Drosophila melanogaster: one gene and its partner. The protein of the gene in region 1 binds, or shares a complex with, the protein of each later gene. Each region holds a gene or a part of one and is shown in the gene's direction. Other genes may lie near its edges. The genes, in order: Wdr82 and Cfp1.

Region 1 (15,756 bases):
GTTTTGTACGAATTAGCTTTTGGAAGTATACCTAAAAATTAGGAACTAGAAACTAAGGCTACAGAATTATAATTTTCCATGTAATCTATGTAGATATATAATCATATTCTTGGCCTAATTTAATAAGTGTGATTTTAATATTCTTCAGAATTCAGTTAAATAAAATATATTTCAGAAAATCTATCGACGCGCGGAAACGCCGATAGTATCGAATGATAACCGATATGCGTTCCACCTCTACCGTTGTGTCACTTGAAGAAAAAAAATATTAATTTGCACCAACGACGTACGTTTTTCGTTCGAAAAGAACAGCAATCAGCGGATAATTGTATGGATTCTTAGAAAATTTGCAGCGACGAAATATAGTACCTTGCGAAATTATTTTGTAACCTTGAAGAAGTAAACTGCGAATCGCCAGAGGGCCAAATAGAAATCTCGTCGTTTGCCTGCAGAATAGAAGACCCGATTTTCAGTGCGCTTGTGTTTGTGTGTGAGCAGCAGAAACAGCAGAAAAAATGGCAGCAAGCGACAAATCGGTCGACGATTCACTATATCCCATTGCGGTTCTAATCGATGAACTGAAAAACGAGGACGTTCAGGTTTGTCATGTCCTAAAACCTGAAATCCAATTGTATCTCGCGAAGAATGTGCAGAAATATTCTAGTGATTAAATTTTGGGGTAGCGTGCCCACACTCCCTGCTTTATCTGCGATTGTATTTGTGCAAAAATGCGTCACGGTGTGTGTGTGCGTGTGTGCATGGGCATTTGTGTTGGTGCGAGTGTGTGCATCGAAATTATACCGAATTTCGATATACACAAGATTAGCGTTTTGCGAAAAAAATTACTATTATCAATTAATTGCAATTATGGGTATACGTCTTTATCCGCTTTTTATTTGTAGATTTTGTTATCCTTCATTTATGTATGTATAAGTATAAGTTTTTACGCATTTGCTATTTGCAAAAACAATTTACAACTGCGCGTGTTAAAAATAGATCAACTTCAATCAATAGTAATACCATAACTGATTTTAAAATGAGATAGTAAGATGAAATATTTTCGTTACATCGAATAATCTAATCACTTATCTTATCTAAAAAAGATATCTTAAGTAAATATATATGCTACGTTTTTTTTTGAAAATAAAATGTAGGGTACAGGTTGACCACCGCTTTTGTAAAAAAAAACCAATAGCCCTATCAATAATAACCTCAAAATCGTAGAATTAGTTACCACTTATCCTAAATTTGAATACCCTATTAAAATAATCATCTTTAATATTTTCCCTTACCAAAACAGCTTCGGTTGAACTCCATCAAGAAACTGTCCACCATTGCACTCGCTTTGGGCGAGGAGCGCACACGGTCCGAGTTGATTCCCTTCCTCACCGAGACCATATACGATGAGGACGAGGTACTGCTGGCCCTGGCCGACCAACTGGGCAACTTTACTAGTGAGCAAAGATATAATTTCTAATGAAAACATTTCCAACCATGTTCCGCCGTTACTTTCCAGGTCTCGTTGGTGGGCCAGAGTTTGCCATGTACTTGATTCCGCCCCTCGAGAGTTTGGCCACCGTAGAGGAAACCGTGGTGCGAGACAAGGCTGTGGAATCTCTACGCACCGTGGCCGCTGAGCACAGCGCCCAGGATTTGGAGATCCATGTGGTGCCGACACTGCAGCGATTGGTTTCCGGTGACTGGTTCACCTCACGCACCTCTGCCTGCGGCCTCTTCTCGGTCTGCTATCCACGCGTCACACAGCCAGTGAAGGCCGAGCTGCGCGCCAACTTCCGAAAGCTCTGCCAGGATGAGACACCCATGGTGCGCCGTGCAGCGGCCAACAAGCTGGGCGAGTTTGCCAAGGTCGTTGAGACGGAGTATCTGAAGTCCGATTTGATTCCCAACTTTGTCCAGCTGGCACAGGATGATCAGGTAAGCACCTGATTAAGACCAATTTAACAACACTCCAAAATATCAATCCTTATCCTTAATTTCCAGGACTCTGTCCGTCTGCTGGCTGTAGAGGCATGCGTAAGCATTGCCCAGCTGCTGCCTCAGGATGATGTAGAGCACGTAAGTTGATCAGCGCTGAAATTGTTAATACCTGTTGGCTTACAAAAAATATTCCATAGCTGGTTCTGCCCACGCTGCGCCAGTGCGCCAGCGACTCTTCCTGGAGGGTGCGTTACATGGTGGCCGAGAAGTTTGTTGATCTGCAAAAGGCTGTGGGCCCAGAGATTACTAGGGTGGACTTGGTGCCTGCCTTCCAGTACTTGCTCAAGGATGCCGAGGCCGAGGTTCGCGCTGCAGTGGCCACCAAGGTGAAGGACTTCTGCGCCAATCTGGACAAGGTCAACCAGGTGCAAATCATCCTTAGTTCCATTTTGCCCTATGTCCGCGATCTTGTCTCGGACCCCAATCCTCATGTGAAGTCAGCTCTGGCCTCAGTGATCATGGGCTTGAGTCCCATGCTGGGCGCCTATCAGACTGTGGAGCAATTGCTCCCCCTGTTCCTTATTCAACTCAAGGATGAGTGCCCAGAAGTGCGCCTAAACATCATCTCAAACCTGGATTGCGTTAACGACGTCATCGGTATCCAGCAACTGTCACAGTCGCTTCTGCCCGCCATCGTCGAGCTGGCCGAGGACTCCAAGTGGCGTGTGCGTCTAGCCATCATCGAGTACATGCCTGCTCTGGCCGGTCAGTTGGGTCAGGAATTCTTTGACCAAAAACTGCGCGGTCTCTGCATGGGATGGCTCAACGATCACGTGTACGCCATTCGTGAGGCAGCCACCCTCAACATGAAGAAGCTCGTCGAGCAGTTCGGAGCTCCCTGGGCCGAACAGGCCATAATTCCAATGATTCTGGTTATGTCGCGCAACAAGAACTATTTGCACAGTAAGTTATCGAATTGAAATTGTAATGATCAATATATGCTTATGGTTCTTATGATTTTTAGGAATGACTTGCTTGTTCTGCCTGAATGTTTTGGCAGAGGTCTGCGGCACAGATATCACCACCAAGTTGCTGCTGCCCACAGTTCTCCTGCTTGCCGCTGATCCCGTTGCCAATGTTCGTTTCAACGTGGCAAAGACCCTGCAGAAGATCTCGCCCTTCCTGGAGGCCAGCGTCATTGATGCCCAAGTAAAGCCCACACTCGACAAACTGAACACAGACACAGATGTGGATGTCAAGCATTTTGCTGCACAGGCCATTGCCGGCATAGCTGCAGGTAAGCAATAAACAGTCTAATATAAACAAGGTTAGCGTTTGACAGGGATAGAAAGGGTCTAACTTATAGAACAATATATAACATTATTCATTATCACAAGTTTTAAGGCATGCAGGGAATCTGAGAGTTACACAAATTCATAAATTGTCAGTTAGTAGTAAGACTTTAATTTTAATTAAAATCCTGCCATAGAAATGGAACTGAATGTGTTTAGAACGGCAATACCGCCGTGCATGGGCGCCAAAATTGAGGCGGCAATGGACTCAAAGCTGATAGTGGAACCGCCCCGACAGCCGGAGGCAGCTGACAATGACATTTTGCAGGAGATGAATGGCAAGGCAGCGGAGCCGCCCACGCTTGACTCGGAATGTTAGAGGATGAGTAGCCAACCACATGACGTGTGATGTGCCTCCCGCTGTCTCCAGCCAGTTCCACAAGCCAATGTGTTTAATCCTCCCCGTCATAATCGTATTCACATTTGATTGTTTGTTTGTTCAAGATAACCAGGCTAGATGTCCGATCTGATTAAAGTGCGAGTGCAGTGGATCAAATATTTAACCGATACTAATGTTGTGCCATATTTTTTTGTCTCTTTCCCGGTATCATCGCCATCACCACGTGGTTATCTCACCATTCCCCACTCTGTGTTCGTCTGCAATAATGTGTTTTGTATATTTGTTTATAGCGTAATCAACCTTCTTGCATCTTTTTTTATTCTATTTTTAAAACTGTATGTATTTAACGCCGGCAACAAAACATATTATGTAGCAACAACACTTAAGAACGGAAAATTGTAGTGGATCCCGGAAGGTGTTAAACGCTGCAGCCGATGCTGGATGAGGGATGAATGGAGCCAGGAGTCAGAGGAAGGAGAGAATCGGAGAATCAGCATGGGAGGAGACCCACTAAACGCGACACACAACTAAACATTACTACTTACATACTTATATTATATATAAATTACCATAGGCATAACGATCATTATTAAAAACATTTGTAGAGTTTGGAACATTTGATCGCATCTGAATGCAAAAATAAAATTGTAGTGAAACAATATCACACGATCTATTGAAAAGTTTAATGTGGAGCAAAATTGAATATTTAACTCCCAAAATTGTATACCAATTTCTAGGTTTCAGTTGTCAGTTCAAAGTTTGGAAATGTAATATTTTCCTTTTTATAGTTTCGTTCAAATTAAGCTTTATATACATTCTGATTATTTGGCAGGTGCATTGATTATTTATAATTTGTGAGAGGTATGGCTATGAAAAGCATAGATTATACAAACAAAATACTTGTATTTTTACATTTTAAAAATACTGTTAATTTATTTTGAAATCCTAAAATCATTCCAGCAGTAAACGATTTTGATAGCAAGCTAGACTGATATCGATAGGCGCCAAACAGACACCTGGCGATAGTTGGGGCTTCTTTTTGGTTTTTTAATTGGATGATGGTGGTGGTGGTGGTGGTGGTGGCGAGCAGTTTCTAGCGAGAGATCAGTTGGACTTTTGCGACGAAGCGATACGCTTGTTTGTTTTGCCGTTCCGCTGCGCGTTGGCCAATGTTTGCCTAACTCTCGAATCGAATTCCGAAACCGAGTGTGGACGCGTAAGTGCCATTGAATTATTCCGTCTGACGCTCGAGCGCCATCGAATCGGATGCGGCGTGGAATGTGGTGGAGTCAATGGGGGGATCAGATGCAAATTTGATTGGGCAAATGGGTGGAACCAATCAATTGTGTGTATACAATAAAACGAGGTGTTTGTGTGTGCCCAACCAAACACAGCCAAATGCGGAACATTATCAGTTTACCCACGGCTGTCGCAATCTCCGCGTCCGTTTACCGTCCACTGACCTACGATCCACCTGCCCCCGTGGACGCAACAAGTGTCCGAATATTTATAGTCTATGGGCTCTATGCATTAATTACTCGCATATGTCAAAAACGCTGAGCTGTTATTACAATTAGTGCTTCATTATTTAGCCCGATTTCCCCAAGTGGCGCGTTTCGCTAAGCGTTATTATTTTTACCTTCCGCTAAACACTTGGCGCCGATTCGATTCCCTCCTTACCCTCGAAACCAGTGATACTCCATCGTGCGACTGAGCATTATCTGACGGCTAATTTTCCCCCGATAAGCCGGAATATAAATTGAAGTGCTCTTTATTTATGTCCGCGATACAACGGCGAAATCGAGGCAAAAAAAGAAGGCCGGTACTTAAATTACCATTGCGTTGGGCAGGCAACGAGGGTCAGGGGTCTTCCATTTCGACATATATCTATGTACACATTTATAAGCATTTCTACAGTCCAACTTCCCTCAGTTAGATATGTTATGATTAGGAGGTTGACAAGAATAATAGTTGCAATATTAATTTATTAGTTTATACAAGAAAGTTTTGAGATTTCATAATCTCATTGAAGTATTTATATATTTTATTTTAAAAAGTATTTGTATTTGCTTGTGTTCTGCATTGTACTTTGTACTTTAACAATGTATGCTTAAACTGAAACACCACTTTCTAATTTAATTCAGTCCGAAAACAAATATATTCCAAGCTAAACTTTAACTTTTGTTCCCACTTAGGGACGTTGGACTGTAGCTTACAAGTGTGTTTGAATGGCATTGCTGTAATTTCAAGTCTGCATATTTAAGCACTGTAGTTTGTTCACTTAGACCTCGGGTTAAGGTAATCTCTGGCAATAGACAGTGGGCCCTGTAGCTGGTTGAACTGTCAAACATTTCACTTTTTTTATGATAGCCATATTACTAAGGTCAAAGTTACAGGGTCCGCCCATAAAAAGACTATTACTTTTTAAAAGTTAATTTTAGTGATAATAAAATGCACTTAAATAGCTAGTAAAACTGTACTTAAATAAACATGCTGTATTAGTCTATATATAATTAAACCCATCATATTAATGGATCAATAATAGTTACGGCGATCTTTAAGTTTGTAACTTTCAACGGGAAAACTTTGTAATTATTCAGCTCACTCCTGTTGAGGAAACTCATTATGTTGCAATTTTAATTGATCGTGGTGATTTGGAAATAAGTAGACTGGCTGGCGACAAAGCTTTTATTTTTATGGCATTCATTCAATCACCATTGAATTAGTCCTCAAGTGCATAATGGGATTAGCGTTCGATTAAACTTGTTCAGCCGATAGAAGTGGATGAATAATAATGCGGAGATTTGGAATGTTCCGAAATCGGATGTTCCACCGTAGGAGCACATGAATGATGCATGGACAGGCAAAGGCTTGGACTCCCACACGGACTTTGCCGCCGTTGGGGCGGCACACTCGTGTGAATCACGATGCTTACGATGTCGCAAGGCTTTTTTTGGCCGAACTCACCATTACTATCTTATCCGAAAAAGATTGAAATTTAATTAGAGTTATCAATTTCAATGGGGGTTTAGGCCACGCCACATTAATCCGGCCAACCGAGTGCCCGGCCCAGTCTTTGCCAATCACCGCATGGGACCAGAGGATATCCGGACAATCCACTGGCCACGTAATCAATCACTTTATGGACTAATAGCCGACAGCCCACAGAAACATGCACAAGGCCATTAAAAACAAATCCAGTAAGTAAGTGTGCGAAAATGGAAAATTCCGCTAATACAATTTGGATAATTATTAAACCAGGGCTCCTCTGCGGACTCAAGAACTCCAAGGCGGATCTAACGACAGCCAAGTTTATACTATATTATGGGTAAGAACTAATATTATTATTAGTAAATATGAAGAAAAATTATACATAAAGCCATGTTATTGCACTAATATCCAAATTTCTTAAATATATTCAAGTATTCACCTATAGCATTATCTTTTATTCACAGACCCACGGTGGCAGATAGCGATATCTATGACCTAACCGATTTCCAGAGTCTTCTGGAGGACGAGCACTTGGATTTGGGCAAGAACACCGTGCTCTATTTGCACGGCTACTTGGAAGATCCGGATGTGGAGAGCATTCACGTCATAGCCGAGGCCTATCTGGAGCGAAAGGATACCAATCTTATCGTCCTAGACTGGGGTGAACTGGCCGATGGCAATTACATGTTCGATGCCTTCCCGAACCTCAAACAGCTGGGCCCAGAGTTGGCCAAGGTCCTGCTCAAAATGTTCGACCATGGCCTGGACATTGAGAAGTTCCACATTGTCGGACACTCGATGGGCGGCCAGCTGGCCGGACTCCTCGGCCGAGAGATTACTAAACGCACCAAGGGTGTCAGAAAGATAAAAAGGTAAAATGAAAGAGGTTTGATTTCAAATTATTTATTCATGCTCGGTTCGATTTTAGTCTATGCCGACGTCATGATATACGATGTTTAATATACGATATTTAGTTAATAATTTTAATGTCCAAAGCTTAACACTTTTGTATTACCATATGGTAATACAAAAAGTTTTTTTTTAGAATCGTTGTTCGGCAAAGTTTATAAAGTTTATATTGAATCCTTTTCTTGTCTCACTTATCTCCAATCTTCTTTTATAGAATTTCCGCTTTGGATCCCGCATTTCCGCTCTTCTATCCGGGCACGCACCTGTCTGCCAATGATGCGGAGTTCGTCGACGTGATACACACGGACGCCTGGCTGTACGGAGCTCCGACGAGCACGGGCACGGCGGATTTCTGGCCAAATGGTGGATACAGCCTGCAGCCTGGCTGTCCCAAGCGAAACTACAAGATGCTCAGCGACAACGATCTGTCCAGTCATCGGAGGAGCTGGTGGTTCTGGGCCGAGAGCGTTTCGGATCGATATCCCATTGGATTCGATGCTGTGCCCGCCAAGAAATGGTCGGACTTCAAGCAGAACAAAATAGTAGAGAATTGCCCGCCCGTGGTGATGGGTCATCATTGTCCCACGACGTAAGTTTCTACTTGCCTTATATGCATAGCGCAGAATTTAGTTTCATCATTTGAAATTGTGATTTTCAGAATTCATGGCGACTTTTACTTACAAACCAACGGACATACACCTTTTGCTCGAGGCAAGGAGGGCACTGTCTACGTTGACCCCAAGGATCTGCTGGGAAATACCCACAGCATCACCTGTGACTGCCCGTCGGAGAAAACGAATTAATAAGACCATCTACAATTGCACTGTGTACATTATGAAATGTAGCTATATTAATATTGTTGTTTCTATGACGCCTTACACCACATTTTGATTTACGAGAAAAATATACTTAAATTTTGTTGTTGAAAAAAACTTTGCATTACTTTGGGGTATTTATACATTATTATTGCACTATTTGGGGTTTTAAATGAGTTTTATTAATTACTTTTTTTGAATGGATTTTTTGAACTTTCAAATAATTTAAATCTGGTTGCTGGTTCCGCTCTTGCAATTCATTCCGGAACCAGTTCGAAAGTTGCGATATCGATAACACAGCTATCGACCCGTCAACCTCTGCCACCGATAACATTGTTTGCAACAATTGAGCATATTGACAACAAAACGAAATTCGACAGGCTAAAATGAAGATAAAACTAATAGATTCGGTGGTGCGCAGTTTTAAGGTGGCCAAGATCTTCCGAGAGAACACGGACAAGATCAACGCCATCGATTTTGCGCCCAACGGCGAACATCTAATATCCTGCAGCGAGGATGACCAGATCGTGATCTACGACTGCGAAAAGGGGACGCAGTCGCGCACGGTGAACTCGAAGAAGTATGGAGTGGATTTAATCCACTTTACGCACGCCAACAACACGGCCATCCATAGCTCCACCAAGGTGGACGACACCATACGCTATCTCAGCCTGCACGACAACAAATATCTGCGCTACTTCCCCGGCCACACCAAGAAGGTTATCTCGCTGTGCATTTCGCCGGTGGAGGACACCTTTCTCTCCGGCTCGCTGGACAAGACGCTGCGCCTGTGGGACTTGCGCTCGCCCAACTGCCAGGGACTGATGCATCTCTCTGGACGACCCATTGCTGCCTACGATCCCGAGGGCTTGATCTTCGCCGCTGGCGTTAACTCGGAAAGCATTAAATTGTACGACCTTCGCTCTTTCGACAAAGGCCCCTTCGTCACATTTAAACTTAATCAGGAGAAGGAATGCGACTGGACTGGCCTTAAGTTCTCCCGTGACGGCAAAACAATTCTGATCAGCACGAATGGATCGGTCATCCGGCTCGTAGATGCCTTCCACGGCACTCCGCTACAAACGTTCACGGGCTATCCAAACAACAAGGGCATTCCCATCGAGGCAAGCTTCAGCCCAGACTCGCAGTTCATCTTTTCAGGCAGCACCGATGGACGAGTGCACATCTGGAATGCCGACACTGGCAATAAGGTGTCCGTACTGAATGGTGACCATCCGGGACCGGTGCAATGCGTTCAGTTCAATCCAAAATACATGATGCTGGCGTCCGCGTGCACCAACATGGCTTTTTGGCTGCCCACATCCGAGGAGGGCTTGTAGGCAATGATTCCCGCTTGCTTAGCTTATAAGATTACAATTTAATTTATAAATAATAAATCAACATAACATAAACAGAGGCCTCTAACTGGATTCCTGGGGCTGGTCCTTGTGGCGGTCGTATCCTCTACGTATGCTGTTCAGGAGTTGTCCAAGATTATGACCCATTTTGGCACTAATGCCGAGCACGGGATTTTGCAGGCGACGTTGCAGTTCCTCAAAGTTGTTTTGGCCCTCTTCCACGTCCAGCTTATTGGCCACCACCAATTGCGGGCGACTCGCCAGACGTCCGCCAAACTGGCGGAGTTCGTGCATTAGCTGCTCATAGTGCGTCCATGGCTCCGGTGCACTGGCATCTAACACGAACAGCAACAAGGTGCAACGCTCGGCGTGCTTTAGGAACTGTATGCCCAAGCCCTTATTGCGATGAGCATCGGGCACGAGTCCGGGAAGATCGGCAATGGTGAGCTGGACATGATCATCGTACTGGACGGTTCCCAAGTGCGGACGCAGCGTGGTGAAGGCGTAGGGAGCAACCTTTGGCTTGGCCCGTGTCAGTGCATTCAGTAGGGTGCTTTTGCCAGCATTGGGGTAACCAATCAAACCCACATCCGCCATGCTGCGCAGTTCCAGAGTGTATGATAGATCTTCACCCCTAGGACCGTATTCGCTGACCTTGGGACTTGTTTCCTTGTCCGTGGTAAAGAAACGGTTGCCCTTGCCACCGGCTCCTCCTCGAGCGGCCACAAACATAAGATCCGCTTGTCCCAGATCCCCGACAATTTGACCTTGCGCATTCCTGATCACCGTCCCGATTGGAACCTTGATCACAGAATGCTTGGCGTTCTTGCCATGACAATCCTTGGAGCTGCCCGGCTCTCCTTCTTCAGCTTTCAGAACACTCCCCACGTGGTTAAAGTTGCGCACATCGTTAGAGGCCTGGAACACCACATGCCCGCCGTGGCCACCGTCTCCGCCATCTGGACCGGCCCTTTCATTGCACCATAGCTGCAGGAAGGACACGCAACCGTCGCCACCCTTTCCGCCGATGGCACGTATCCTCTTGGCATCGGAGAAGTACTGCGCCTGGAAATGTGGACACAAAAGTGTGGCATTAGTTATGTAAATTCCATTGCAATCTTATGATTCTACCTCTTTCCGGGTGGACTTCGCCTTCTTCGGACGCAGCGCTGATGCCACCTGACAGTAGTTGGCTATGAGACCAATTGGTTTTGCATTTCTGGATATATTCAATGAAAATCGCGCAAGAAACGATTTGCCGGTAGAGAATAACATTGCTGAAGTCTTGTGACCATGGGCATAGTCAGAAAAATATGTAATAGGGATTGATATATCTTAATCAAGTGAAATTAAATTAAATGATCTAAAGGTTCGAGAAATGTATTATATAAATATATTAAGATGTATTTTTAGGGCGGCTAGAATTTTTTACTTTTAAAAAAGTATTCGAATCCCCGTCTACACCTGTGGAAAATCACCTGCTGATACATAAACATATCGCGACGACTATCGAAAGCTATCGAACCAGCTGGAAATTATGTTTTTGTTATCCAGAGGAACGAGAAGCTTTCAACAGTTGAGAAAGATGTCTATTAAAGGAGCACTCATTGATCTCAGTGGCACCTTGCATGTGGAGGATGAACCTACTCCGAATGCTGTCGAGGCGTTAAAAAGGTGCTTAGTTTAAACCAAGGTATTCGTAATTATTTTCAAAGTTGCCGTGTAGATTGCGTGACTCTGGCGTACTGGTGAAATTCGTTACAAACACCACGAAGGATTCAAAGGCCACTCTTCACGAACGGCTATGCAGGATTGGCTTCCAACTTGACGCCTCTGAGATCTACAGCTCCTTGAGTGCCGCAGTCTCGTATGTGGAAAATGAGAGACTAAATCCGTACTATATTCTGTCTGAGGATGCACGACAGGACTTTCCGCCGGAGGACACTAGGCGCTATAAGGATTCAGTTGTAATCGGTCTGGCACCCAAGGCCTTTAACTATGAACAGCTGAATGAGGCTTTTAAGTGAGCATCCGAGCAAGGATATTCTTATCTCAATTAACGATTATCTCTGCAATAGCGTTCTATTGGAAAACAAGAATCACAAACTGATCGCCGTGCATCAGGGTAAGTACTACAAACGAGCAGAAGGCCTAGCCTTGGGCCCAGGGTGCTTTGTCAAGGGTTTGGAGTTCGCTACAGGACGAACTGCCAAAGTGATTGGCAAGCCCAATCCTTATTTCTTCGAAGGAGCTCTGGCTGGTCGGGATCCAGCCTCATGCGTTATGATTGGAGATGTATGTAAAGTAAGGAATACATTTTGAAAACTTAACGAATTCTTGATTCGCAGGATGCCAATGATGACATAGTGGGCGCCATGAGCATGGGCATGCAGGGAATTCTGGTCAAGACCGGCAAATATCTGCCGGATGTCAAACCATCCCCACCTCCAACAGCGTTGTTGGAAAACTTTGCAGAGGCTGTCGATTGGATTATACAGAAAAACCAATCTTAGGCTTTATTGGGCTTCTGCAAATGTTTATCGTGTTTAAAACATAGATACTGACGAATTTTTTATTTAAAATAGTTACTTAAAAAGACTTTACTGATATAGGTAAGGCTTAGATATAATTAAATGCTCAAAATAAGTTCAGTTCTGATTATAAACTTTTCATGTGGAACATAATAAAGGACCCGTTTTTAAAGTGTGAACTAGCCCGAATCATTTTTCAACGATGTACGAATACAGCCAAACACAATTATGTAATTAATTTAGTGTATAAATGCTTTTATTTTATAAATAGCCGTAAAAATTCATCTGAAATGCTGTTTAAAACAGATCAACGGATTAAGATTAAGCATAGTTGTGTATCAAAATTGTGAGTAATTGAAGGTCTTGCCGCTTTCGAATCCTTTATGCTCTTAAGACAGTTTCGACTGAGCGAATTTGCTGGCCAATTGGACAATTTCGTCCACCTTTTCGTAATTTGTGCCCGATGCCTGGGCGGATTCCGGTTTGCCACCTCCCTTGCCTCCCAGCGTGGCGGAAACATGCTGCACCCACTCGTTGGCCTTCAGACCCTTTTCCACGGCACTTTTCGGCACCGAGCTGAGACAGAAGATCTTCTTGGAGTCCGCATCCACTGACAGAAACATGGCGGCAGCGTCGGGCAGCTGGCTGCGCACTTGCTTCAGTGCGGCATCCAGCGCCTTGGTGTTGTTAAAGGCTTCCAACTGCTCGACCAGCACGGTGGCATTGGGATTGGCTTCGCACAGAGTCTTGGCGCGCTCCACAACAGTGACCGAGACAGCGGCACGCAGGGCACGTTCCTTATCGTCCAATGTTTTCTTCAAGCCCTTCAGCAGATTGCGCATCTCGTCCTTTTTCACGTAGGGAATCGTAGCATGCGAGATCTGTTCAGTCAGCTCAACAATCTCCTTCACATGCGACTTGGAGTCCTTACCGGACTTATCGTTATCAATGGTGGCCTTAAGCCGGACGATTTCTTGTTCAAATGCTTCAGATTTCTTCAGTGCCTTCAGAGCTTCGGGTCCTGTAAGAGCCACAATTCTTCGGATACCCTTGGCAATGGCCTCTTCGCTGCTGATAACAAAGTCCATTATGTGACCCGAGCGCCTCAAATGGGTGCCGCCGCAAAACTCGACGGAGGTTTGTTCGCCGGCTTCAGAATCGGGATTCTGCTCCAGTTCATCTACGGGCACTCCGAAGGAGATTACCCTAACGGGATCCGGGTACACTTCGTCGAAGACCGATCGCAGGCCTCGGATCTTCTTGGCCAGGGCCAATTTCGACTCCTTTGCGTAGATCGGCACATTCTTGTACACCATCTCCTTAGTCAGCTGCTCCGTCTTGGACACCTGCTCGATGGTCATTGCCGCCTTGCTGTTGAAGTCAAAGCGTAGCTTCTCTGGCACTACCAGAGAGCCTTTCTGTTCGGTGTCCTTACCCAATACTTGCAGCAAGCAATGGTTGAGGGCATGGGTGGCCGAGTGGTTTTTCATGGTCAACCAGCGACGCTCCACGTCGATGTGCAGTTCCAACTCATCACCCACCTTAAGGGTGCCCTCTACAACGCCAATGTGAAGAATGTAGCCTCCGCGGTTGTAGACACGGTCCACAAGGAACTCGTTCGCCTCGTCATTGACTTTAACCAGTGCACCTTGGTCGTAGATTTGACCACCGCTCTCTGCATAGAAATTTGTTTTGTCCAGAACGATGCCCGCCTTCTGTCCGCTGGTGATCTCGTTCACAAACTGGTTTTCGAAGCGCAGGGCAACAATTTTACTATTGCACACACCGTAGTTGTAGGCGGAGTCACGTTCGTCAGACACAGCCTCGTACTTGTACTTGAAGGTGTCGTTGGTTGGTGGCACACCTTGCTCCTGCAGCTGCGAAATGGCGTGCACATCCAGATTGATCTCCTCGATTTTGCTAGCACCTTTGCCCTGCGAAAGCACATATGAATTATGCTTGGCTGCCTCATAGCCATCCATATCGATTTTCAAGGATTTCTCCTCTGCCATAAGCTGGGTTAGATCGACTGGGAAGCCGTAGGTGTCGTACAGCCGCCAAGCAACATCTCCGGGAATGGTAGTCTGGTTACCCAACTTTTCGATTGTGCGGTTCAGCAAGTTGCGCCCGCGCGTTAACGTCTTAAGGAACTGCAACTCTTCCTCGTTGATAATATCAATGATGTGTTGGGGATCTTTTTTCACCTCCGGGAAGGCATCACCAAGCAGATCAACCACTGTGTTCACCAGGGTGGCGAAGAAACCGGGCTTGGCATTCAACTTCTCAGTGGCATAACTGTGGGAAGATAATGTCAAGATTATTATTGCTTAGAGAGTGTAATTTTTTAATTGATCAAGAATAATGACTAATGACTAATGTAATATAATGTATATAAGACGTAGTATTAAGTTATCTTACCGCACAGCGCGACGAAGGATGCGTCGCAGCACATAGCCTCGGCCAGTGTTGTCCGGAGTGCCGCCATCAGCCAAAGCAATGGTGATGGTGCGGGCGTGATCGGCAAGCACGCGGTAGGCCATGTCAATGCCGTCCACATCGTCGGCACCCACACGACCCTGGTAAGGTGGGGCACCAGTGCCCGCCTGGATGGCATCGAAAAGTGGCACAAACAGATCGGTATCGTAGTTAGATCGCTTATTCTGGATGACGGACACCAGCCGCTCGAAACCCATGCCGCAATCAATGTGCTTCTTGGGAAGTTGCTTCAAGCTGCCATCAGATTCACGGTTGTACTGGATGAACACGAGATTCCAGATCTCCAGGACATCGGGATCGTCCATGTTGACCAGCTCCGGAACGCTGCGCCCGCCGATCCGGTCGAAGTGCAGCTCAGAGCATGGTCCGCAGGGCCCAGTCTCGCCCATCTCCCAGAAGTTGTCCTTCATGCTGCCCGGCAGGATGTGTTCCGGTTTCAGGCCCAAGTCCAGCCACATTTGCTTGCACTCCAGATCGGGCTCCAGACCGCTGGCCGCGTCACCACCAAAGTAAGTCACATACAGACGATCCTTGGGTAGGGCGAGTCGCTGCGTGAGAAACTCCCAGGCCCAGGAGCAGATCTCCTTCTTAAAGTAGTCACCGAAGGACCAGTTTCCCAGCATTTCAAAGAAGGTGTGATGATAGACATCCTTGCCCACGTCGTCCAGATCGTTGTGCTTGCCACCGGCGCGAATGCACTTCTGCGTGTTGGCCACGCGCACCCACTTGGACATTTCGCTGTTGGGATCAGCGGTGCCCAGAAAAATGGGCTTGAACTGATTCATGCCGGCGTTGGCGAACAACAGCGTGGGATCGTCCAATGGAATCGTGCTGGACGAGTGAACATAGATGTGCTTCTGCTCCTTGAAGAAGTCCAGATAGGCGTTGCGCACCTCCTTTGCTGTGAGTAACTTCATATTGCTGGTTCTGCAAAGGACAAATCGTGAGTGTAAACGTTGCCACGCGACAATTGGGGCTCCCTAACCCCTTAAAACGGCCACAAATCGGAGCAGTGAAAGTGCACTT
Region 2 (17,176 bases), on another chromosome or scaffold:
GGCTCATATAATTTAATTCGAAATCAACCTATCATCCATTTAAATCCGTGAATCAATGTGGTTTTTGCCACTTCTGCTATCTTTGCAGTTTGTGCACCTTATGTAAATACGGCTCTATGTAGTGTTAACTTGACTTTGATCTAGTTACTCGTGTTACTGAGTGTAGTCCATTGTTCTGCTATTTGCTAGCTCTAGCTGAAATTAGTCATTTGTTTTAAACGATATCTTAGCTTTGACTTAACACAAGCCAACTAAATTTTGGATTATATTCCATATGATCTGATTTAAGAAATCAAATTTAAAACATTTGTTGCCCTTTTGCAGGCGTTCTCCACAACATCTTCGATGGGCTGATGGACAAGGAGGAGCAGGTGCGGATTGCCATGCAGCAGGCGATCGTGAAGATCTTGGAGACCCATCCGGAACGGGCTGCGGAGATCCTCAGCGAACATCGATCGCAGCAGCCGAAGATGACCGATCAAACAGTGGCCATGTTGTTGGAGTAGGTTTCCCTTTGACATCAGCAATTAAAAGCTGTTCTAATCCCTACCTTTCTATATTTCAGCTGCATTCGTCGCGTGGTGGGAGCGGAAACTCCTCTGCCGCCGGCTGCAAATCAGAAACTTATTGATCTTGCGCTGCAGGAGCTCACCAAGAATCCCGAGCATTTGCCACTCATACAGAATCCCGCCCAGCGCATCCTGGTAGCCATCGGACGGAGCAGCCCAGAGAGTTGTGAGCAGGTAATGGAGGCGCTCCAGGAGAAGGGAACAAGTACAGAAGGTGTGGCTCACTTTATGCTGATGCAGTGCCTCGGTCTGCTGGCCACTGAGAATCCGGCAGGGGTTGTGCCCCACATAAAGGCCATATTGAGCCGTAGTCAGCCGCATCTAGTCGGGATACGCCAGGATCACATCAAGCAGGCACATGCCTATGCCATCGGTAGATTCAGTGAGGCTCTACTGGAGGAGAGCGGCAAAAAGGAGGAGGAGAACTGCTCCACGGAGATCAGTGTGGCCTACGATGTGCTCTTCAATCAATGGCTGCACTCCCGGGAGCCAAAGGTTTGCGTGGAGATACTGCAGGCCCTGTCCAGCATGTATCCACTGCTGCCCAAAGACCGGATTCAGGATCAGGCCGCCCGATTGGTTCCCCAGATCCTGGCGCTCTATCGACGCAGCGTGGACAGGAATGCCGTGACGCAGTTCCTCTGCTCCGTGTTGAAAACGAATCTGGCACTAAATGCCACAGTCTTGGATGGCATAATTGACGTGTTGGTCACCCATTTGTTCGACCTGGTCTGCGTTTATCCGGACTATGAGAAACCGCAGACGGTGAAGGGTCACTACGAGGTGCTGCGTTGCTTCCACCTTCTGGCCGGTCATCAACCCTACTCCACGCGCATTATGGACACCCTGCTGATCCACCTGCGGAACAATAGCGAACGCGAGAGGATGAAGTCCCTGCTGATACTCACGCACCTACTCAACTCCTGTGCAGGGAATATAGAAAACCGGATTCCAGCCACCATTGAGTGCCTAAAGCAACTGATCCTCAGCGAAAGAGGGATCAAAATGAAGCTAACGCTGCTAAAAACCATTGTGGCTCTCGCCCAAAAGTCCCACATCCGGGACAAGGAGTTTGTGTGGTTCGTGGTGCGGCATAGTTGCCGATTCTCAAAGCCAAGTCAGGAGCACGGCAGCCAGGAGGAGCACGCCAATTTGGTGCTGAGCTGTGAGAACACCCTGTACATGCTGGCCTCTACGGTGGGCACCTTGGATGAGCTGCTCAAGAGGGAGCTGCTGAACTACTTGATCCTACTGGACTACACGGATATTTGCGGGAATCTCGCCAAGTGCCTGGCTAGTTTGTTTGCCAAATCTCCGCACATAGAGTACGATATTGCGGGAGACGATGCCGCCACGGAGCAAGCCACACCGGAGAGTATGGGCGCTGCTGGCGAGGATCGCAGTGTGATCAAGCGCGGAAAGGTTATGGTCCCTGGAGCCGAGACGATTTACGCAAGATGTCTGGCACTCCTGGGCAATCAGCAGTGCATTAAACGATGCTCGAATATTCTCAGTTTTCTGCGCTACTACCATCCTCAGGTGAATCCCGCCCTGGAGGAGCTGTGGGAGCGAAAAATTCCCGATCTTCTGCTGCAAATCAACAGGGAGAGTGCCTATCGCCAGCTACTCCACGATTTTGTGCTTGAAACGAATGAATTTCTGGGCGGATTGGATGAGAACTTTGCCCAGCGGCTGGCCAGTAAGCTGGCGGACCAGATGTACTTGTATCCCATGCAACTGCCCCACTCCGAGTGGCATTTGCCTGACCTTAGCGCCGAGCGAGGCATGCTCCTGCAGGCGGTGGCCCTCACCCTGCTTCAGGTGACCGATGTGGCCTGCATCCACACCAAGATCGATCTCATTGTGACGACTGCCAGGCAGGAAAGATTGGACAAGCACGTTAAGCATGCGGACTACGAAAAGCGCATTGAACCCTGTGCCAGAGCCTTGGGCTACATTTCCCGCCAACACTTGGGGCATCTGATCAAAAAGCTAACCGAACTGGCCCAAGTCGGTGGGCGAAAGCACTCCACCGGTTTCTTTAGCAATCTGCACTTTATCAAGGATACGCACAAGGAGCTAGAGAACTACAAGAGCAACCTGCTCGTGGTCAAGGCTTTTGGTCGCATCATGGACGAAGCCGATCCGTTGCAATCCATTCAACACCTGGACGAAGATGACACATTGCTGGGCTTCCTCATCCAACAGCTGGCCGTGCACAAGGACCAAACAATTATGTCGGCGATCCTGCAGACGCTGCTCAGCATCTGCAACCAGTTGATAGCCACCAAGGAGCAGCTGCCGGCTCCTCTGCGTCATCGCAAGCAGATCATGGAGACGGTCTTCAACATCCCCATCGAGGCGCCGTTCCACGACCTTCCCCTTCTGCCCACCATTCTCAAACTGGGCACGGACTTCATACGCATAGGTAAGGAATTTCTATTAACTAAATGTAAATCTTATCCTAATCCTTTCACTATTTGTAGGTGGACCCGATACCGAGGAGTGTGTGGACGGCGGGGTGATCTTCGAGATCGCGTGCCGCAACTTCTTCGGCTGTGCCCAGCAGCTCAAGATGAAGTTCGACTCTCAGGAGGAGGATGAGCGCAACAGCTTCCTGGCCAAGCACCTCAACGAATCGCTGCCGCAGTTGAATGCGCTTGTGAGGGCCATCGTTGAACTGGACGCCTCGCCGGCCACACTGGATCTGATTATTGGCATTCTAGAGGGCTGGACAAGGGATCGCAACTCTGAGGTGCGAATCTGTGCCAGCCATGTGTTTAACAACACCCTCGATGTCTACATCAAGTCCATGAAAATTGGCTGCGAGGCCCCGTCGAAGTTCAATCAGACTGGTCAAATGCTGGGCAAGATTGTGCCCAGGTGCATCGATTCGAATGGCACGGTGCGGCAGGTGTCCGTGGAGATCCTGCAGAAGACGCTGGAGATCGCGTGTATCTACGAAACCCTGACGATAGCCAGCATCGACAGCACTGCCGACTGGCTGAAGGAGATCGAGACCATCAAGGAGCACATAATCACCGACGAGCCCAAGCAAATCTACAATCTGGCCGGCGACATTGCCAAGATTATTGCACTGCGTATCTCCAGCTTTCAGTACCTGCAGTTCTGGTAAGGATTAGTACGGTCTACATTAAATCGGTTAGATTAGTACGGTTTAAATTTCTTTACAGCAAAACTCTACTTCATTCGCTGCGTGATCCTGAGCAGAGTTCCACCATTGGCGCCAGTGTTGTGCTCAAGTTCTTTATCCAGCAGAAAGGCTCTGAGCTGTTCCACGCCATTCCCGACCTGGTTCGCGACAGTTTGCTGGCCTTGCGCGTGTGCGAGGTGCCCAGGGCGAAGTCCGGAGTGCTAAAAGCTTTGGTGGCCCTCACCAAGCACCATCCCAAGTTGGTGTGTGCCGAAATGCTGTCGCAGCCGCTGCCGTACGACCCCAATCTGGTGGAGTACTGGCACCTGGTGTGCAACGACCCGGAGTTGACGGGCCTCACGCTGGACAACTTTCTGCAGCTGCTAAGTGGTGCCTCCCTCCAGGAAGGCGGTCAGGATGCATCTCTTTCCGAACGTCAGAAATTAGCCAGCGGCCAGCCGTTTGCCATTTTCTGCGCTCTGCATGAGATGCTGCCGTGCAAGGATATCAAGGGGGTGAGTGCTTGAAAGGGTTCCGTTGAATTTTCACACTTAAACTAATGGCTTTGTCTTTTTAGCAACTGGAAACAAGGTTTGCGGACATGTTCTGCATGCTGCTCACTTCGCTAAGCAGCTACACCAACTTAGCTGCACCGAATCCTATAAACAATGCCTCTCTAAGTCCCAACCAGACGCAATCGGGCAAAACCAAATTCGGTTTCGTGCCCAACAAGGAGCTGATCAAGCTCAATCCCTGCCAAATAGCACTGGAAACTTTCCAGGTAGGTTCCAACACCATTAAATACTCTATAATTCTCTATAATAGCCTATTGCCTTAATTTTTAGGCCTTCCTGACCAATCTAGAAATGGAGCAGATTGCCAGCGTGCTGACTGTGAATACGCAACTGGCGAGCAGCGCGGACTGGCACAACTACATCGAATTGCTGACACCGATGGCCATCGGTCTAGGTCAACAGCTGCAGCTGGGAAGTCCGCAGATGAGGCAACTGGTCAACTCGCTGAGCAAATATGTGGCTTCACCATACGATGGTCAAAGAGTGGCCGCCGTGGGTATTTTCTCACGATTGGTGCCACTGAAACCCACCGGTGAGCTAGCTGCGTCCATACTGCTCCACCTCGGAGCCGCACTATCCGATCCCAATGCGGTAGTGCGAGGTCTCAGCATCCAGGGCATGGGTTACGTGGGCCAGTTGGGAGAAAAGGAGGCGAAGCGCTACTCGGAAACTGCCATCGGTGCTCTGTTGAAGGGAGTCGACGATCCGGTGGGCGATTGCCTAATCAACATTCCGCTGGAGAGCATGCGCGGCCTGTCTGGAATACTGCGAGCATTGCCCAGCGAGCGGGTAGAGCCCTTCCACGTCTCCCTCGCCATCCGGATTCGACCGTTTCTCGGCAACTATGCACTAGAGATGCGAGAGGCGGCTATCCAACTGTTTGGCGATATATGCGAGGGCAAGCACGATGACGGCAGCAGTTCACCCACATCCTCGATGGAGGCACTGAGAGAGCAGCTCATCGCCAATCTCTTCCCGCTGCTACTGCATCTCAGCGAGAGCGAAGTGGCTATTGCCTCGGCCTGTCGTGGAACACTTCAGCGGGTTTGTCGTCTCCTGACAGCTCCAAGGGTCGTGGAGATGGCGGAGCAGCAGTTGGGCGAGGAACGAGGTCACCAGCTCAACTACAGCAGCTTTGTGCTGGAATTTGTCAAGACAATTGTGAGTTTATAATGTTCCAAACGGGACATAACAATATTTCTAACATTCATTTATTCTTTCAGGCACTGGAGCTGACGGATCACATCCAGGACTTCATCGATTCGTGCCTGCCGCAGTTGCGTAGTCAGTGGCCCGAGGTGCGAGGTAGTGCAGCCATTGTAATTGGTAAGTGTTCCGGTGGTCCACAAGAATCCTTGAAATAATTTCAATCGTTCTCCTTGCCTAGGCATTCTGCACAACTTCCTCAGCGAGAGAAACGTCCAAACGGAGACTGTGGCCAGCAAGATTGCCGTGCTGCTCAAGGACGAACAGGCGCTGGTGCGGATGAGGGCAGCCACTGCTCTGGGTTACTTCTTTGGGGACATCTAGAGCATCCAAGGGACCAACTCGATTAATTAGATGTGCAGTTATGTTGTGTGTGTTTGTAAATTATGACTTAGTATTGCTCCAAGTGTGATCCCTTTGCCTCAGCAATCGTTCCCTTATTATGTTTGATATTTAACTCTTTGTTTTGTTATGTAATCGAAAGTCACGTTATATACTATCTGTATACACATAGCATTATTTATATATTTATATTTCCATGTTAATGCGGAGCGTTTTGCAGCTTTAAGACAGTTGGAAGTTATAGGAACTCGTATTCGACCGAAGACTTTGTTACGGACAATAATTACTTCATATTATACTGAGTCTATTCAAAATTACCTTGGCTTTTTGAGGTTCATAAAAATTAAAGAAAAAAATAACTACTATGATTCCACAGCAAAAATACGTTGTCAAAAATTGATTGTATTCCATTAAGGAAGTGGTATTTTATTAAAAATATTAATAAATCCTTATAAGCGTAATCAGATATTTTATTTGATTCTTTATATAAATTGCAAAACAATTGCTGGACCAATTTTAAGCAAAAATAATAAATTAGGAATTGTTCTCGAATTGATTCAATTACCTTAAAGGTGTAAAACGCTTTGTCCATTTCAATCAAATCTGTAAAAAAGAGATAAATGTGGGGGTGTGGCAATGGTACTGTTTGCTTGTAAAAGTCAATTACCTGCCACATTACAGATATACTTTCAAGTGCCACAGACTCACACCTTTGAATTTATCTCAATCCCCTACCATTGTTGGATTCCAAATTAAGGTTAACCTGTTTAACTGTGTATTAACGCTTACAAAAACCAAATCAAAAAATGTATTACTATGAAAATCACTAAGCTTTAAGATCAGTCGAAGGCGTAGTACTGGATGCGGCCCGACGACCAGGCGATCGTCAGCACGGAGCGATCGTTATCCTCGTAGAGTGGCTGGAAGCAGATGAAGCTCGGGTGCTCCGCCGCCGTCTCGCCGCTCAGATAGTAAGCCGCCGAAATCTGCAGATCGAACTTCTGTATGAAGGTGCGGAAGACGGCGATGCAGTTGGTCGCCTTGAATGTGACTACCAGATAATTGCCATGCGGATCCCAAGCAAGCTGCTGGGCGGGACCACCGACAAGCGTGCGATTCGCATCAATGCTACAAGCATTTAGATCTGCAATGGGCAGGATTTCCTTCTCATCCGCCGAAGCTGCAAGGAGATACAAAAACGGAATATGTTAAATATCAACTAGTACATTGGTACCGGTTTTTGTTTTTGTAGTCAGCATTATACAGGCGGTCTGTAAGCTGCAACAGCCGCCAACCTGTTACTGACTGCTTTGATCTGGGGCAGCCCCAAATCGCACCCTTGTATCTGACCACCGTTTCAGTTCAGACACTGGGAGCAGACTGCCCTGAATACGTACTCAAAGCTTTCGTACTTACAGGATAGCAGACTCTGTTGCACGAACTGCAGGCGGTAGAGAATCGGTTCGGCACTGCTGACGAAGAGCAGGAAGCGACCGCAGGGCGACCAACAGGCTGTTTGGACATAGCCTCCGGGACCGCACACCCATCGCTCGGTGGTCCATTGCTGGTGGCAGTTCCACACGCGGAACACCCGATCCACGGTGGCTGCGAACAGCCAGTCATTATCCGGCGACCACTTCAGCAGCGAGCCCGGCGGACCCAAACGCTTGAGTGGCTGCATCATTCCGGTGTCCGGCTGCCAGATAATAATGGAACGATCTCCTATTGAGGCGGTGGCCAACTGGGTGCCATCCTTGTTCCACTGCATCGAGGTTATTGGCAGATTGTTTGGGCTAAAAGGGAAAATAAGTTATGTATTTACCAACTAACGATAAATTTTCTATACTGACTATTTAAAAATCTCGCTGGGTGCATTTGTGCGTCCCAAATGCAAAGTGCTGTCCACTTCCCAGAAACACAGACCCTGCCGACAACCTATCACGATCTCGGAAGCGCAGAGTGGACGCCACGCCATGCAGGTGATCTGCGTTTGGGATGGACTCTTTAAAACAGTGGCAGTGGTCGCACTGGAACTCTTTGTGTAGATGCGCACCACATCGTCTACACCGGCTACGGCTAAGCAAAAGAAGTGCTGATTCCAGGCAAGATAGCGCACATCGCTGTTGAGCCAATCCCTGAATGAATGGGACAGTAAGGTTTAGGTATTATTGGTCAGTTGGCTGCGCCCCACCCACCTGGTCTCCACGAACTGAGCAATACGCTCTGCACTAAGCTGCTGGGTGTGCGGGAGGATCCTCAGGCCGGTGGCCAGGCCCAGAAATTGTGCGATTAAATCACCCGCCTGGGCAATAAGCGGCGCCTGCTCCCTGGTCTCTGGGCTGCGTGCCTCCTCCAGCGTCTTCCAGAATCCGCCATTAAAGAAGCTGCGAGCTATGCGCTTTAGGACACCCTCATTCACAGATACGAAGCTCTGTCCGCCGTAGTACCGCTGACCAGCCGGATTGGCCAGAAGTTCGCTGTTCAGGTTTATCTGCGGATAGCGTTCCAGCTCTGGGATGTGATTGTGCCGCAGCGCCAGATCCGGCAGCGTGGAGAACGGCGGACACTGTTTTAGGTTGCTCAGGGCCGCCATAATTGCAGACTATTCACATTCAATTCAGTTCAGTTGAGAAAAAATGGTAACGAAATACAAAGAAAAAACCGCGCGGTTATTAGAGGTGAGAAAAAGCCGACAATGTCAGTGGTAATTCGATGCTTAATTTTTCTATCGATGTTTAATTTTACGAAACTTCGAAAATACTGGGCCGCGGCAAAATCTTAAAGATTATCGAAAAATAAAAATTAGGTATATATAAAGTAACAATCTTTTGTAGGTTTTATATTCACGTTGTTTCTCTTTCAAGAACTCTATTTAATCTCATAGATCTCGAACACACTATCGTTTGTTATTAAGACTATGGAATTAGTTCTCTCGATATAAGTGTTACGAAGCATTTTATATTTATACACAGCTTACAATAAATACCTAAAATTGTTTTTATTGTATAGTCATACATCAATTAAAATCTACAACGTAGTTTTATGCTAAATATTATATATTTTATTAGGCCAGAACCTATCGATTGTCTGCAATACATTATTAGTAGGCTATCGATATCCTTTCATTCACCATCTCCATCGCAAAAAAAAATTCCATGAAACTTAATTGACGGATTTGGATTTGGACTGGATTTGTTGTCGGAAAGATTGCTGCGAGATGACGGACAAGCGCAAATATAAGAAGACCGTAAGTTTCACCCGCTGCACGGCAATCATATTTTTAACTACAAAGGAGGTTTCCAAACAGAAAGAGGAAATCAGGCGGGAGATCGCACGGGAATTTGATTTGCCTGAGCGCAAGTCCAAGATAGCCACCATTCTAAAGCAGGAAGACCAAGCGTACTGCATATGCCGCTCCTCCGACTGCTCCAGGTTCATGATGTGAGTTGAATGGCCTTAAAGGGCTAGATCCCGGCTAACTACTTGTACCCTTCGCTTTCCAGAGGCTGCGATGGTTGCGAGGAGTGGTACCACGGCGACTGTATAGGGATCACCGAGAAGGAGGCTAAACACATCAAACAGTACTACTGCCGGCGCTGCAAAAAGGAGAATCCCGAACTACAAACCATATTCCGCCTGGTGGCCACCGAACGGGCAGCCGCATCGAACGCCGCCTCTACAAGTCTCAATGCCCCGGGCGTAGGTCCATCGGGAGCTGCGCCTGCTGCTGCACCGGTGGCGTCCGCAACAACCAGCCAGCAAGCGCCGCCACCGACCACTGCGGCAGCGAAGCGCAAAAACAGCAGCGCCCGAGAACCAAAGATGGGCAAACGTTGTGGTACCTGTGAGGGATGCCGGCGTCCCAATTGCAACCAGTGCGACGCGTGCCGCGTTCGCGTGGGCCACAAGCCGCGCTGCATATTCCGCACCTGCGTTGTCCAGGCGGCGACGGTCTTAAAGGAGTCGCAGGCAACTCAAGCCGGCCCAAGTAGGAAGCGGGAAAAGGCGGCACCCAAGAGTCGCAATGTCCAAGTGGGCCCGCGGGCGGCCAGTCCGGAGATATTCCTCAATCCGGAGCTACAAGGCATCCGGCAGTGCTACGGACCCAATTGCTGCTCCCATGCGAGACCGCAGAGCAAGTACTGCAGCGATAAGTGTGGCTTCAATCTGGCCACAAAACGCATCTTCCAGGTTAGTTTCATTTTTTGGCCAGACTATGACAATTAAACACCAAAGTCCTTTACACTCTCAGGTTCTGCCGCAACGACTGCAAGAGTGGAATCTAACGCCCAGCCGCGCCGCCGAGGAAACACGCAAGCATCTTGATAACATTCGTCATAAGCAGTCCCTGGTGCGTTTCGCACTTGCCGAGCTAGAGAAGCGCTCCGAAGAGCTCAACATGGTGGTGGAGCGAGCCAAACGAAGCTCCATTGATACATTGGGGTCACAAGACACCGCCGACATGGAGGACGAACAGAGCATGTACTGCATCACCTGTGGCCACGAGATTCACTCGCGCACTGCCATCAAGCATATGGAGAAGTGCTTCAACAAATACGAATCGCAGGCCAGCTTCGGGAGCATATTCAAAACGCGAATGGAGGGAAACAATATGTTTTGTGATTTCTACAATCCGGCAAGTAAGACTTACTGTAAGCGATTGAGAGTATTGTGTCCGGAGCACAGCAAGGATCCGAAGGTGAACGATACGGATGTGTGTGGTTCGCCCTTAGTGAACAACGTCTTCAATCCCACGGGCGAGTTTTGTCGTGCGCCAAAGAAGAATTGCTTCAAGCACTACGCCTGGGAGAAGATCCGGCGTGCTGAGATAGATCTGGAGCGTGTGCGTCAATGGCTCAAGATGGACGACCTGATGGAGCAGGAGCGCGTGATGCGGCAGCAGCTCACCTCGCGAGCGAACCTGCTCGGCCTGATGCTGCACTCCACCTACAACCACGAGGTGATGGACGAGCTGGTGCGCAAACAGCAGGAGCATCTGGTAGAGTTCGAGAAGCAGAGGCGACGCCTGGCTCACCAGCAACAAATACAAACACAGCAGAAACAGTACCAGGAAAAGCAGAAGCTAATGTTGCAGCAACAACAGCAACAGCAACAACAGCAGCAGCAACAACAACAGCAGCAACAACAGCAGCAGCTGCAACAACCACAGCAGCAGCAACAACAGCAGCAGCAACAACAGCAGGAGCAACAGCAACTGCAATTGAAGCCACATCATCTGCAGCAACTTCAACTTCAACTGTTGCAGCAGCAGCAAAAGAAGGCCCAAATACCACAGAAAACTCAAATTATATACCTGCAGAAAAAAACATAGATTTGTAGTCCCCTAATCATAGCAAGAACTAACAATAAACTGACGTCCAAGAAATATTTTTCTACGACAGTAATCTTTGGACTTACCCGACGCAAAGTTTCTAGTGTCGCCTTTCTCCTGGCAACCGCATAACACGCTCGCCAGCTGTTGGGTCCGCTTCCCGGCCAGTAGTAGGTTGCTACGCGCCGGGATCGGCGGTACGCCCATGTTTGTTATTGAAAACTAAGCATCAAATATGCATTTATTGATAGCAACATGCTATTAATACATTAGGCCAGCTCAACCGTGGATATCATTCACATGGATTACATTAGCACACACCTTAATATTAGTTTATTAGCTGGATTCAAGTTATTTATAATTTCTATATACGATTTGTTTTCTGTTCATTGTTAGTTTGTATTTAGAAATAATCTAGAAAATAAGTTAGCATATTAAATACATTTTCTTAAGCTGTAGGCTTTTTTTAATAATGCAGGTTAATATTACTGCATTAAACAAAGTCATGAAAAAAAGAATACTCTACGCTCAACATATTTTGAAGATCATATAGACATAGGCCACCGAGTCCGGGTTTTGATATCCGAAACAATGGTTCCGGGTAAATGAAGAGCGGGGGGCAACCATTGGAAACGGCAGGACCTTGAAAACGATGGAGGCTATGGATTAGAGTGGGCATGCTGTAGTTGGGAGCCAAAAGGAATGTCAGGACGCACAAGTGCAGTGGAAATTTCAAGCGAGTCTGAACGAATCCGGCTACCCGGGCAATCAAGTAGTCGTGGCGATTTGTGACTGTTCCCCCAGACGAACTGTCAAAAATGCCAGTCGTTGTCCGGAACTTTTCTACATCACACACGACCTGCTGATTCAAAGCCAGGAATACAGTTCATTTACAATCTCCATCGCAAAAAGAAAAATTCCCTGAAACTTAATTGACGGATTTGGAATTGGACTTTAGTTGTCAGAAAGATTGGTGCGAGATGACGGACAATGATAAGAAGACCGTGAGTTTCACACGCTGCACAGCAATCATATTTTTAGCTACAAAGGAGATTTCCAAACAGGAAGAAGAAATCAGGCGGGAGATCGCACGGGAATTTGATTTGCCTGAGCGCAAGTCCAAGATAGCCACCATTCTTAAGCAGAAAGACCGTGAGTACTGCATATGCCGCTCCTCCGACTGCTCCAGGTTCATGATGTGAGTTGAATGGCCTTAAAGGGCTAGATCCCGCCTAACCACTTGTCAACTACGCTTTCCAGAGGCTGCGATGGTTGCGAGGAGTGGTACCACGGCGACTGTATAGAGATCACCGAGAAGGACGCTGAGCACATCAAAAATTACTACTGCCGGCGCTGCAAAAAAGAGAATCCCGAACTGCAGACTATATTCCGCCTGGTGGCCACCGAACGTGCAGCCGCATCGAACGCCGCCTCTACAAGTCTCAATGCCCCGGGCGTAGGTCCATCGGGAGCTGCGCCTGCTGCTGCACCGGTGGCGCCCGCAACAACCAGCCAGCAAGCGCCGCCACCGACCACTGCGGCAGCGAAGCGCAAAAACAGCAGCGCCCAAGAACCAAAGGAGTCGCAGCCGACTCAAGCAGGTACGAAGCGGGATAAGGCGGCACCCAAGACTTCCAATGTCCAGGTGAGCCCGCGGGCGGTCAGTCCGGAGATATTCCTCAATCCGGAGCTACAGGGCATCCAGCAGTGCCACGGACCCAATTGCTGCTCCCATGCGAGGCCGCAGAGCAAGTACTGCAGCGATGAGTGTGGCTCTAATCTAGCCATCGAACGCCTATTTCAGGTTAGTTTCATTTTTTGGCCAGACTATAAGACTCCAATTAAACACCAAAGTCCTTTACACTCTCAGATTCTGCCGCAACAAATGCAAGAGTGGAATATTACGCCTAGCCGCGCCGCCGAGGAAACACGCAAGCATCTAGAGCTCAACATGGACGAGCTGGTGCTCAAACAGCAGGAGCAACTGGAGGAGTTCGAGAAGCAGAGGCAACAGATACAGACTCAGCAGAAACAGTACCAAGAGAAGCAAAAGCTAATGTTGCAGCAACAACCGCAGCAGCAGCAACAACAGCAGGAGTTACAACAACAGCAGGAGTTGCAACAACAGCAGGAGCAGGAGCAACAACAGTTGCTGCAGCAACTGCACTTGAAGCCACATCATGTTCAGCAACTGCAACTGCAAATGCAGCTGTTGCAGCAGCAGCGACAGCTGTTGCAGCAACAACAGCATAAACCGGAAAATCCATAGATTTGTAATCCCCTAATCATAGCAAGAAATAACAATAAACTGATGTCCAAGAAATATTTTTCTACGACAATCCAGTAATCTTTGGACTTACCCGACGCAAAGTTTCTAGTGGCGCCTTTCTCCTGGCAACCGCATAACACGCTCGCCAGCTGTTGTGTCCGCTTCCCGGCCAGAAGTAGGTTGCTACGCGCCGGGATCGGCGGTACGCCCATGTTTGTTATTGAAAACTAAGCATCAAATATGCATTTATTGATAGCAACCTGCACGTAAAGGGGTTGGATACATTGGGTTAGCTCTACCGTGGATATCATTCACATGGATTACATCAGCACACACCTTAGTTTTATTAGGTTATTAGCTTGATTCAAGTTATTTATAATTTCTATATACGATTTGTTTTCTGTTCATTGTTAGGTTTCATTGTTGGCTTTTTTTTTAACTAAAGGTAAAGATAAAGTAATACATTCAGATAGGTTAATATTAATGCATTAAACAAAGTCATGAAAAAAGGAATACTCTACGCTCAACATATTTTGAAGATCATATAGGAATAGGCCACCGAGTCCGGGTGTAAATATCCAAAACAATGGTTCCGGGTAAATGAAGAGCGGGGGGCAACCATTGGAAACGGCAGGACTTTGAAAACGATGGAAAACTATGGAGTAGAGTGGGCATGCTGTAGTTGGGTGCAAGACACCAAAAGGGATGTCAGGACACACAGGTCACACAAGTGAAGTCGAAATTTCAAGCGAGTCTGAACGAATCCGGCTACCCGGGCAATCAAGTAGTCGAGGCGATTTGTGACTGTTGCCCCAGACGAACTGTCGACAATGCCAGTTGTTGTCCGGAACTTTTCTACATCACACACGACCTTCTGATTCCAAGCCAGGAACGTACACTCGTTTTTTCTATTCGATTCCGAATCTTTTATTTTGTAAAATCGTAACGGAAGCGTGAACGCCGGAGTGCCGGGAGATACCAGGCCAACATCCGCCGCCATATGGACTCGTCCTCCTCCGATACGCATCTACATTCGTTGATCTAATATATGCTTGTAATTCCATTTCCAAAACTGTGCAAATTGAAACGCGCGTGGTCTGCGAGTGAAACATACAAATTGTCAAGTCGAGGCCGCTGATCCTAAGCTAAATCGGCTAGATTTAATCCACAAGGGCCGAAAAAATTCAAGAAGTACTTCATGAGTTGGCAGTGGGAAGCCCTCAACGGACGAAGTAATATAGATATTGTGTTCGGTGGAGCACAACACCGGAACGGTATCAAGTAAAGATTTTTTTTCTTGTTCAAGGTCCTGGACTGTACCTACAGGTTGGTGTATCCAAACGATATATATACATATATATATATCTATATAATTAATATGAAACATCCTACAGTTCCGGTTGCATCTTTTGATTCGCGTTGCGTTCGTTACTATATCGTTCTTTTTTTTCTATTTTTATTGTGCAAATTGCCAGTTTACTTTCAAGGCACACATACTCACATAACCATCCGTCAAGTTGCCGGGCCTCTTCGTCTCCTAGTTAGCCACCATTCTACATATCCTGCGAATCCTGCCTCCTTTTACTGGTAAGTGACGTGCTCCACTTGAAAACTTTTGTGCCAAATTCAATCGCTCCGATTTGGCTGTTGCTTTTGATGCTACACTGCTACACTGGCAGACATAAAGTAGATTTTAACCTTACACCTTTCACTGTCTATTTGATTTATTAATATATTATAAATTTACTAGATCAAATTATGTGCGCTTGCGCCCACTTATGCGCCAGGGTTGCATTTCAAACGGAGTCCATTCCCTACTTTCCAGCACAAAACTGGAATTCCTTGGAATAACGGCTTAATTCGAGATCAGATTCTTGCGAATTTCAATTTCGAACTCGATTTTTGTTGAACTGTGCTGGCCTTTGCCATATGAGTGTACTTGTGCCTATTTATTTGTTAAACAAATTCATTTGCCATGCTTTGTTGCTGATTTTCGTTCAGCGAGATTGCATGCCACGTATTTCCATTTGATTGTTTTGCGGCGTTTCTTGCAGCAACAATAGCTGAAGTAGGCGCAATAAAAGTATTACAGTAGGCATCCCAAAGAGTAGATGTTCGGGAAGATTTAGTGTTAAGGTTTTTAATAATAGTAATAACTACTTTATAGTTAATAATCTGTACCTATTGAAGAATATTACGTATATACATACATACATATTTAGTACCCCATCTTAAAGAACACTTATAAATCGCGTTATAAATGAGAGTTGAAGCATCCAAGAGCTTTACGCATTGTTCTCTGCAGCGAGTGCTCACTGTGCAGCCGAGCATTGTTACATGACGTTGCCGTGGGCACTTGAGGGTCCACTGTAGGCATTGCCAGGCCATCCAATTGGGGGTCTCGTTTTCGCTTTCGCCTTCTGCCCGCGATCGATCTAACAATAATTCGGTTTCAATCAGGTCCGCCTCGCGATTTATTTATTCGCTTGCTATTTTTTCCCGCTTTTTATTTGTGCTCCCGTTATGGCCGTTGTTCCGTTTCCGGTGCACTTGCATGCAGAGAGAGAAAAAGCCATTATCCCTTTTATTCCAATCCAATGATCGAAATATCTTTGTTAGTATAGGAGTATATACAGACATACATATGTATATACTTTGGCTAATGATGAGCTTTAATCAAAAAGTAATACAGAAATGTTTCAAATATTTTGAATATCTTAAAGACTGGATCTCTTGAATAATTAAAATGTACTATGCTGTGTGAATTTAATTCATTAACTTTATCTCATACATTTCGATTTTATTCTTTCACTGTGCACTTTTGCACTGCTTTTTGTTGGCGTTTCATTTTATTTGACATACTTGATGCCGTTTGCATATGGGAGCAAGCACGCGAGGACGAGGGCCCCTGATGCTCCAGTTGGAGCCGCAAAACCACTCGGGCGCCACTGCCACTGCCACATCCACGCGCAACAGCAACAGCGCCACAGTGAATGCCAGCTAACTGATAAATTTCGCACTCCACTCTGATCGTCCATAGCGAAGCTGCCACGTGGGGCTGGAGTTCTCGGGGCTCTGCCAGAGTCGCAACCGGGCCAACTAGAAACCAACTGCCGGATAAGTCCCAGCATCCCAATAAGCAAAAGAGGTCACAAGGTTAAGGGGCACGGATAGGGATAGGAATAGGGATAGGGATAAGGATAAGCAAAGGGCACAGGTGAAAAGGAGCAAGCTACGATGGCCAACTATCAAACTGCCCACGCTCAAGAGCGACGCATTCAAGAGCTGGACCAAACTGTGGAAAGCATTTTCGATGTGCGAAAGGTAAGTCAAAAAGTTCGTTCGGAGAACGGAAAATTATACTAAATTGAAGTCAAGTGATCATAGGTCGAAACGATTAATAACTTCTTTGTCTTTCGCAGCGCATGGGTAAGGGTGCCTATGGCATCGTCTGGAAGGCCACTGACAGGCGTACAAAGAACACGGTGGCCCTGAAGAAGGTCTTTGATGCCTTCCGCGACGAAACCGATGCCCAGCGCACCTACCGTGAAGTTATATTCCTGCGGGCCTTTCGCTGCCATCCCAACATCGTTCGGCTGGTGGATATCTTTAAGTAAGTTCTTTCGATATTTTTTTGTTTTCTAAAATGCGTGTATATAATGTGCATTCTCTTCAGGGCCTCCAACAACTTGGACTTTTATTTGGTGTTCGAGTTCATGGAGAGCGATC

What was found.
Region 2: Wdr82 (region 1) and Cfp1 share a complex: the UniProt entries of both Drosophila melanogaster proteins name them as parts of the SET1 complex.

The regions. Positions count from the first base shown.
Region 1 is NT_033779.5:8,365,796-8,381,551, forward strand, and holds Wdr82 (WD repeat domain 82), read left to right. Parts: upstream 1-8,665; 5' UTR 8,666-8,731; coding exon 8,732-9,685; 3' UTR 9,686-9,754; downstream 9,755-15,756. Other genes in the region: Pp2A-29B (protein phosphatase 2A at 29B), read left to right, coding at 516-599, 1,301-1,454, 1,517-1,935, 2,002-2,076, 2,136-2,901, 2,963-3,235, 3,428-3,604, 3,921-3,925; CG17292 (uncharacterized protein), read left to right, coding at 6,803-6,830, 6,892-6,958, 7,086-7,493, 7,745-8,119, 8,189-8,333; CG13390 (uncharacterized protein), read right to left, coding at 9,767-10,768, 10,835-10,978; CG17294 (uncharacterized protein), read left to right, coding at 11,289-11,377, 11,430-11,726, 11,782-11,998, 12,052-12,216; AlaRS (Alanyl-tRNA synthetase), read right to left, coding at 12,624-14,529, 14,653-15,647. UniProt on the Drosophila melanogaster protein: Component of the SET1 complex that specifically di- and trimethylates 'Lys-4' of histone H3.
Region 2 is NC_004354.4:9,264,777-9,281,952, reverse strand, and holds Cfp1 (CXXC finger protein 1), read left to right. Parts: upstream 1-8,992; 5' UTR 8,993-9,063; coding exon 9,064-9,287; intron 9,288-9,349; coding exon 9,350-10,037; intron 10,038-10,098; coding exon 10,099-11,178; 3' UTR 11,179-11,519; downstream 11,520-17,176. Other genes in the region: c11.1, read left to right, coding at 325-502, 566-2,997, 3,056-3,701, 3,764-4,238, 4,301-4,504, 4,569-5,459, 5,522-5,624, 5,686-5,828; aladin, read right to left, coding at 6,686-7,026, 7,263-7,639, 7,697-7,981, 8,042-8,439; CG17440 (uncharacterized protein), read left to right, coding at 12,159-12,182, 12,243-12,376, 12,439-12,982, 13,049-13,447; Erk7 (extracellularly regulated kinase 7), read left to right, coding at 16,685-16,771, 16,870-17,060, 17,124-17,176. UniProt on the Drosophila melanogaster protein: Component of the SET1 complex that specifically di- and trimethylates 'Lys-4' of histone H3. Essential for Set1 association with chromatin and trimethylation of histone H3 at 'Lys-4' at transcription puffs.